Caenorhabditis elegans: one gene and its partner. The protein of the gene in region 1 interacts with the protein of each later gene in a pairwise test. Each region holds a gene or a part of one and is shown in the gene's direction. Other genes may lie near its edges.

Region 1 (3,758 bases):
TTCAGCAAACCTTATCTACAGTTTTCTGGATGCAAGATCTTTATTTTTAAAAGAGCTGCCGAGTTCTAGTATTTCTAGACCACTACGTGTGGCAACATTCTTTCTCTTCCTATTTTTAGCTCTATATACCCCGGTTGACTTGATAGGCGAATTTAATTGAGAATTATAAATTTTCCATTTTCCAAAAAGTAAAATTCCAAATTCAAATGTTCTTTCTCCCACTCCAATATTGTAACATACAATAAAATTTAATCCTATCTCTCTTTCCTCTGTGCTTTCCATAACCTCTCTTCCATTTTGCCCGTTGGTGGCAGGCGATGGGCGGGTTTGACATCGTCCTTTAAGAATAATAAAATGTGTCATTTGGTGCCCTCTTTATCTCTATTTCTCTATTCCTCTCTAACTCTCGTTTACAAAACGCCACCTGCTCTCTCTTTCTCTTCATTTGACCCCTCTACTCCCAACACCCAAACAGACACCATCCTTTGTTCCGTTTTTTTTGGTTTTTTGATGGTGGACAGTGGTGATGGACATTTCGTTTTACTCCATGTTTTATTTTATTCTAATGTGCTATGTGTGCAACCAACATCTGCCTTCCACCGGTATAATGAGATTTTGACTAGGGAAGGGTCAACTCATGGTCACGTTGGCGACTCTTTTGGGACTTTTGAGTGAACATTTCTAAATTGTAGATTTTTCGCTATGGCCAGTTGTCAACCCTAAAAATTGGGATTTTCATGGTTTTTAAGGTACTGTTTTTTTCATGCAATATTTCAAATTCAATTATCTACAAACAAAAATATTTTCTGGAAAATATTCAACTGAAAAGCCAGCTGATATTTTCCAGCATTTTGTCAGTTGATAACTTTTTTCTAGCATCACAAAGTTATGATAATTTAAAGACTCTCCACACTTCCAACAGAGGTAGCAAAGAAACGAAAAGCTCTCGCTCAATAGGGTGCTGAGAAGCTAGACTCTGCACTCTCTTTGCAATTCCAGTTAGGAAATTTATAACTAACTAAAAATTGGCAAAAAATATTTTAATATTCTGAATTTATAACGAACTTTTGGCTTCTGGGGTAGTCACTTTGAAAGCTACATTTTGACGCGCCTTTTTTAAACGCCTTTTCGAAAATTTTATTTCAAAATTCGTTTAGTCTTCAGAATACAATATGATTCTGACATTTTTGGCAGAAAATTACATTTTTCACACTCCGTGGGAGGTCTATAAATTCGTTTTATGTTAATCGTGGCCAGTTAAAATTTTCAGCGCGTGCGCCTTGAAACTTTATTTTTCAAAAAAAAAACTTTTCCCCCCGATTACGCCTTCCCCAATTCTCGCCTATTTTGTTACACAAATTTAATTAAAATTTTTTCTAAAATTTTCATTATTTTCTCTTTCCCTCTCTCTTTTTCTGCAAAACCCACCTAGAAAACAATTTATGTGAAATTAAATTGTTATTTACTGCGCAACCGGAAAAATAAAATAAAATTTAAAAATTTGTAAAATGCGAAATCAGCAATTCAAGTATCTCTCTCCCTCTCTTTCTGGTGTCCTCGTCATCCACTACCAGCCACAAAAATAAAAAAAGAATTTCGCATTTTTTATGTGATTCAGAGAAGTGTCTCCCGTATTCGAGTACTATTTTCGAGTTTTGCAATACATCTTATCAAAAATATATGTTTTGGGGTGAAACGGGAAAATAGAAAGAGAGGGACAAGTGAGAGAGCAGAATTTAATATTTTTGATGACTTTTTCAAACAAATTTTTTTTGTTGAAAACTTTTTCCCTCACTTTTTCACATTTCTTATCATTCTTCTTCGCTTTCTCGAAATTTAATTTCATTTTTTAAACGCATTATCAATATGTTATACTTAATATTTCAGATCAACTCAGATGATGCTCCAACCGCCAACTTTAACGCCGAATGCGAATGGTGAAGAGTTCAGAGGATCCGTCAGTACAGATCGTAGTTCAGCTTCTCCTTCCAACATTGACGTGAGTTTGGATTTTCATCGTTTTGATGTGAAAAAAGAACACTATAAAAAATTACAAGACATATAAAAAAATTTTACTGTATGTCTTTTTTCAAACTTGTTCCCATGTCTTACATATTTAAAAACTATACATTAAGCTTGGAGAGAGGTTCAAAATTTTTGAATGTCTGAAAACCTACATGGGCGACCTCTAAAATTTCTAGACTTTAACAACAAAAAAATTGTGTTCTAAAAAAATTTCGCAGTTTCAAAGATGTAACGCAAATACATATATTACACATTTCTCAATCTTTTCTCTTGTTTTCGCACTCGTTTTGCCCGCCTCCCTCATTCATTTTCACAATTTCTCTCTCGTTTATTTTTTGCCTCAAACATCTCAAGATGATTTTTTATTTATTTCGAAGAAACTCGCAATTTCATTTTTTTCAACATTTTTGCCTCGCTCGTTAAATGTAAGAGAAATAGACATATTTTTCGATATGTATTGAAAAAATTGAGGTGAGAGTGAGAGCGATGAAAATGTGCTAATTCAGAAGGCAAACAACTTTTTTTTTCGATATAAAATTTATGAAACATTTTTTTTCGTTTTCCATATTTAGAAGTGCTTTTGGAAAAGGTTTAGTTTTGCCTTTATGCTCACTTTGAAATAAAATTTGCCGCTGTGGGACTCTGTGGGACTCGGAACCACACATATTTTGTTTTCCCGCTCTTTCTCTCCCTTTTTTCTGTTTAACAAAACCTTTTCAAAATAAAAAAAAGAGCACAATTTTCTTTTGGTTTTTTTTTGCGTTGTCCCCACAAGAATTTTATTATTTTATTATCTACACATTACACGATAGAAAATAAAACGTAGCGAAAATATTATCAGTTATCGGAATCGTTAAAATTATTGAAAAATTATAGATGAAAAAAATTCTTCTTCTTTTTCTTTGATAATGATAGGAATTAACAGAAAATTTCAATTTAATGATGATTGTTAGATGCTCGCGGAGCACACGACAATTCCGTAAAAGTGCGCGAACAAACAAACAGACTGTTTTTTTTGTTGAAAAAGCGAACTTTTCCTCCTCCCCTTCTTTCAATTTGTGCTCTCAAATCATTCATTTTTCCTACAAACATAAAAAACCCAATTTCTTTCGATTTTCCGTATTTTTTATGGCGCTCTTCTAAAACCGCACTATTTCTTTTCCATTTTTTTTCAATCAAATATTTATATATTTTTTTATTTATTTTGAGAAGGAAAACGGACAGGGGGGAAGGCGAGGTGGTGGTTGAGCCAGCAGCCCGCTCCCTCTCCTGTCACAGCAGCACCCAGCCACCACATACATACAACCCTCAATTTGAGTGAATTTGTGACCAATTTTCTAAATTTATTTGGTATTTGTTAGGTTGCTGCACGAATTGCTCGAATATAAATATATCTGATACATGAGTTTTTGCAATTCTTATTGATCAAGCTTAAGCTCTTCTCTAATTCTGAAATATTTGTAGGAGATCATGGAAGACGATGTGAATCAGAAGGACGAGGATGAAGATCTGAACTTAGTGGATCGTGTCAGCAAGCTCGAGACAAATTTTGTATTCATTCAGCATCAGGTGAGTGAAAAACTATTAATAAATTATTTTATTTTCTAAATCGAGAATGAAAGAAGTAGAAAAATATATTTGCACAACAATTTCGACAAGTGCAATGTGTAATGCAACAAGTCATAGGTGTCTAGTATTTATTTTGAAAATTTCCAAAAAAAAACTCGACTAGA
Region 2 (3,758 bases), 850 kb from region 1:
AATGTCGTCAGATGTATTGCTATGGACGGAACTGAAGGACTTGTCCGTGGACAGCCAGTTGCTGACACCGGAGATCCGATTAAGATCCCAGTCGGACCAGAAACTCTTGGCCGTATCATGAACGTCATTGGAGAGCCAATTGACGAGAGAGGTCCAATTGCATCCAAGAACTTCGCTGCTATCCACGCTGAAGCTCCAGAATTCGTCGAAATGTCCGTCGAGCAGGAGATTCTTGTTACCGGAATCAAGGTCGTCGATCTTCTTGCCCCATACGCCAAGGGAGGAAAGATTGGACTTTTCGGAGGAGCTGGAGTCGGAAAGACTGTGCTTATCATGGAGCTCATTAACAACGTCGCCAAGGCTCACGGAGGTTACTCTGTGTTCGCTGGAGTCGGAGAGCGTACCCGTGAAGGAAACGATCTCTACCACGAAATGATTGAAGGAGGAGTCATTGATCTCAAGGTTAGTAGGAAAAAATGGTTCATGGTATTTAAATAAACAATTTATAGGGAAAGAACTCCAAGGTATCTCTCGTATACGGACAAATGAACGAGCCACCAGGTGCCCGTGCTCGTGTGTGCCTCACCGGTCTCACTGTCGCCGAGTACTTCCGTGACCAGGAAGGACAAGATGTGCTTCTTTTCATTGACAACATTTTCCGTTTCACCCAGGCTGGATCTGAAGTGTCCGCTCTTCTCGGACGTATCCCATCCGCTGTCGGATACCAACCAACCCTTGCCACTGACATGGGAAGTATGCAAGAGAGAATTACCACCACCAAGAAGGGATCCATCACATCCGTCCAGGCTATTTACGTACCTGCTGACGATTTGACTGATCCAGCTCCAGCTACCACATTCGCTCACTTGGACGCCACCACTGTCTTGTCCCGTGGTATTGCCGAATTGGCTATCTACCCAGCTGTCGATCCACTTGACTCCACCTCCCGTATCATGGACCCCAACGTTGTCGGACAGAACCACTACGACATTGCTCGTGGAGTTCAAAAGATCCTCCAAGATTACAAGTCCCTCCAAGATATTATTGCTATTCTTGGTATGGATGAGTTGTCCGAGGAAGACAAGCTTACCGTTTCACGTGCCCGCAAGATCCAACGTTTCCTTTCCCAACCATTCCAAGTCGCTGAGGTGTTCACTGGACATCAAGGAAAGTTCGTATCACTCGAAGAGACAATCCGCGGTTTCACCATGATTCTCAAGGGTAAGAATATTTAAACGTTGAAAACATTAAAATTAAATCAATTTTCAGGAGAACTCGACCACCTTCCAGAAGTTGCTTTCTACATGCAAGGAGGAATCGATGATGTGTTCAAGAAGGCCGAAGAACTCGCCAAGCAACACGGAAATTAGTTTTATTTTTTTTGTTATAACGCCGACACTTCGTTTTTCTTTTTTTCAATGTTTTTTGGTAGAGATAAATTTAATGTATAGTTTATTGTATTGTTGCGGTAGTGCTGTTTCCGTCAGACCACTATTTGGTGACTCCCAATACGTTGTTTTCCATCTCTCACTCTCCCTTCTTCGAATTCAACTACCAACCCAAATGCCCTAAAAGGCAACAAAAATAAAGCAAAAACATTATTTTTTTCACACCCCAAGTTCATTTGACTTCTAGTATATTTTTATCAGAAATAAACAGAAAGCCGATGATAAAACTGCGAGTTTGTTGATCGTCAAATTTCAGGTTAAACGAATGAGTAACAGAACGTATGCCGATAATCTGTTTCCACAACAGGTCGCGGAGCAGCATGAGGAACAGATGTCTTCTGGTTCTTCGCCCAAAAGTAATTCTCCCAGCAGAAGTATAAGCTCTGTTGAGGCAGCGAACTCTAGAATACACATCGGATGGATGGCCACAACCTTGGACGTTGCCGAGAATCTAGACCGTCATGTTGCTACTTTCTGTACACGACTGGGAGAGTTCAAGTATAACTTTGTCGTCTACCCGATTGGAGGGGTCGTTCGCGCATTCTGGACGCCTAATGGAAGGTTCACATCGACTATCTTACCCAACTTCAACTAGACTACTAATTTTCAGCGCGGAGAATCATCCACCTGTTATTGATTTGCCCGATGTTCAGCTGAGAAATGATCTCTGGGAAAGCTATGTTGTAGGAAAAGTATGGGGGGTTTTTTTTTTAATTTTAATTACTTTTTCGAAGAACAAGCCCTTTATTCTTAAATTAAAACCTGAAATTGTCATTTTTTTCAAGATTTCTCCATGGATCGACTGTGACTCTTCTGATCCAGCCTTTGCCTCGCTTTCCGAGGAACATCTTCTGAAAGAGCTCAGCTACATTTGTTATTTGGGTCTTCAAACGATGGCAATCGAGCTCACACGCATCTCGTCGCCTCGTACTGCTGCCATTTTGAAAAAATGGATTTGGACTAGAAATTCGCGTTTTACGTAAGTAAAATGCAATATGAAATAGCTCCTTTTTTTCAGTAAAATATTTTTTAAAAAAGCAAAGTTTATATTTATTTTCAGTGTTTGGGTTCAACTTCCGTCTGCAATTGAAAAGTGCAAAGATTATGACGCTTTCACAATAGAACATGTTGATTTATGGACAATTTGGGCCGATTTCCGGAAGAATTGTGGTAATTTCAGTGGTGTTTATTTCCAAGTGGCTTTGACGATCTCTTCGGAACTTCCCGATGAGCTTACTGAGCTTAAACTTGTGGACCGTTGGAAGGCCGAGCCCCTAGCAGCTTTTGTTATCGAATCGGGTCTTTTTATTTCTGGAAGAAATGGAGAAGCATCAATTCCAAGGTAAATTTCAAGATTACATTTTCAAATAAATACTAATTTTTCAGTGCCCACATAAATTTATTAAAACATCTATGGACAACTGATGCACTTCGGATCGTTCTTCGTGCCACAACGGATACATTCAAGTACAATACTTCTATCAAATCCGAGTATTCTCAAGCTCTTCGTCATGCAGTTCGAAATGTTAATTACCGAAGTCGTCCTGATGTTGGAGAAGGATCGAATGACTCCACTCATTATCTTAATGTTATCGAATACAAAGATGTTTTGCAAGCACCTCTTCAACCATTGTCTGAAAATTTGGATTCAGGAGTTTATAATACATTCGAGCAGGATCAAATTAAATACGACGTGTATGGAGAAGCTGTAGTTGGAGCATTAAAAGATCTTGGAGCTGACGGAAGAAAAACTGTTGTCATTTACTTGTTGGGAGGAGGACGTGGTCCTATTGTGAGTTTTTGGCTATTAAGTAGAAAAAGTCCCTTTTAATTCGACATGAAAACATATTTTGTGGCCAATTGAAAACACTCCACCCCCTGACCATGGGTCTCGTTTGGAAGTTGGCGACAAGCCGGAAATTCAAACATTTTGCAGTTAATTTTGCCAATTGTCTGAAGCGAACTGCAACATTTTTCAATTTACAGTTTTTCGGTCTAAATGAATATCAAAACGGGCATTTTTATGCGTCTCCATAGTTTTAAATATTATAAATTTCAATTTTTTTCAGGGAACGAAAATTCTGAAATCTGAAAGAGAATACAACAACACATTCCGACAAGGCCAAGAAAGTCTCAAAGTGAAGCTTTATATTGTTGAAAAGAATCCAAATGCAATCGTCACTCTGAAATATATGAATGTGAGAACATGGAAACGACGAGTAACGATTATTGAAAGTGATATGCGAAGTCTGCCGGGAATTGCGAAAGATCGTGGATTCGAACAACCTGACATAATTGTTTCGGAACTTC

Evidence for each region. The genes of interacting proteins can lie anywhere in the genome.
Region 2: the proteins of attf-4 (region 1) and prmt-5 interact in a two-hybrid assay, tested with the Caenorhabditis elegans proteins (one large-scale study listed by BioGRID).

Annotation. Positions count from the first base shown.
Region 1 is NC_003281.10:6,078,676-6,082,433, forward strand, and holds the start of attf-4 (AT hook-containing protein attf-4), read left to right. Parts: upstream 1-1,887; 5' UTR 1,888-1,900; coding exon 1,901-1,999; intron 2,000-3,489; coding exon 3,490-3,594; intron 3,595-3,758.
Region 2 is NC_003281.10:5,228,866-5,232,623, forward strand, and holds the start of prmt-5 (Protein arginine N-methyltransferase 5), read left to right. Parts: upstream 1-1,689; 5' UTR 1,690-1,713; coding exon 1,714-2,009; intron 2,010-2,058; coding exon 2,059-2,140; intron 2,141-2,233; coding exon 2,234-2,427; intron 2,428-2,508; coding exon 2,509-2,790; intron 2,791-2,834; coding exon 2,835-3,240; intron 3,241-3,517; coding exon 3,518-3,758. Other genes in the region: atp-2 (ATP synthase subunit beta, mitochondrial), read left to right, coding at 1-462, 510-1,221, 1,270-1,370. UniProt on the Caenorhabditis elegans protein: Catalyzes the symmetrical dimethylation of arginine residues in targets such as small nuclear ribonucleoproteins, histone H2A/H4 and cbp-1.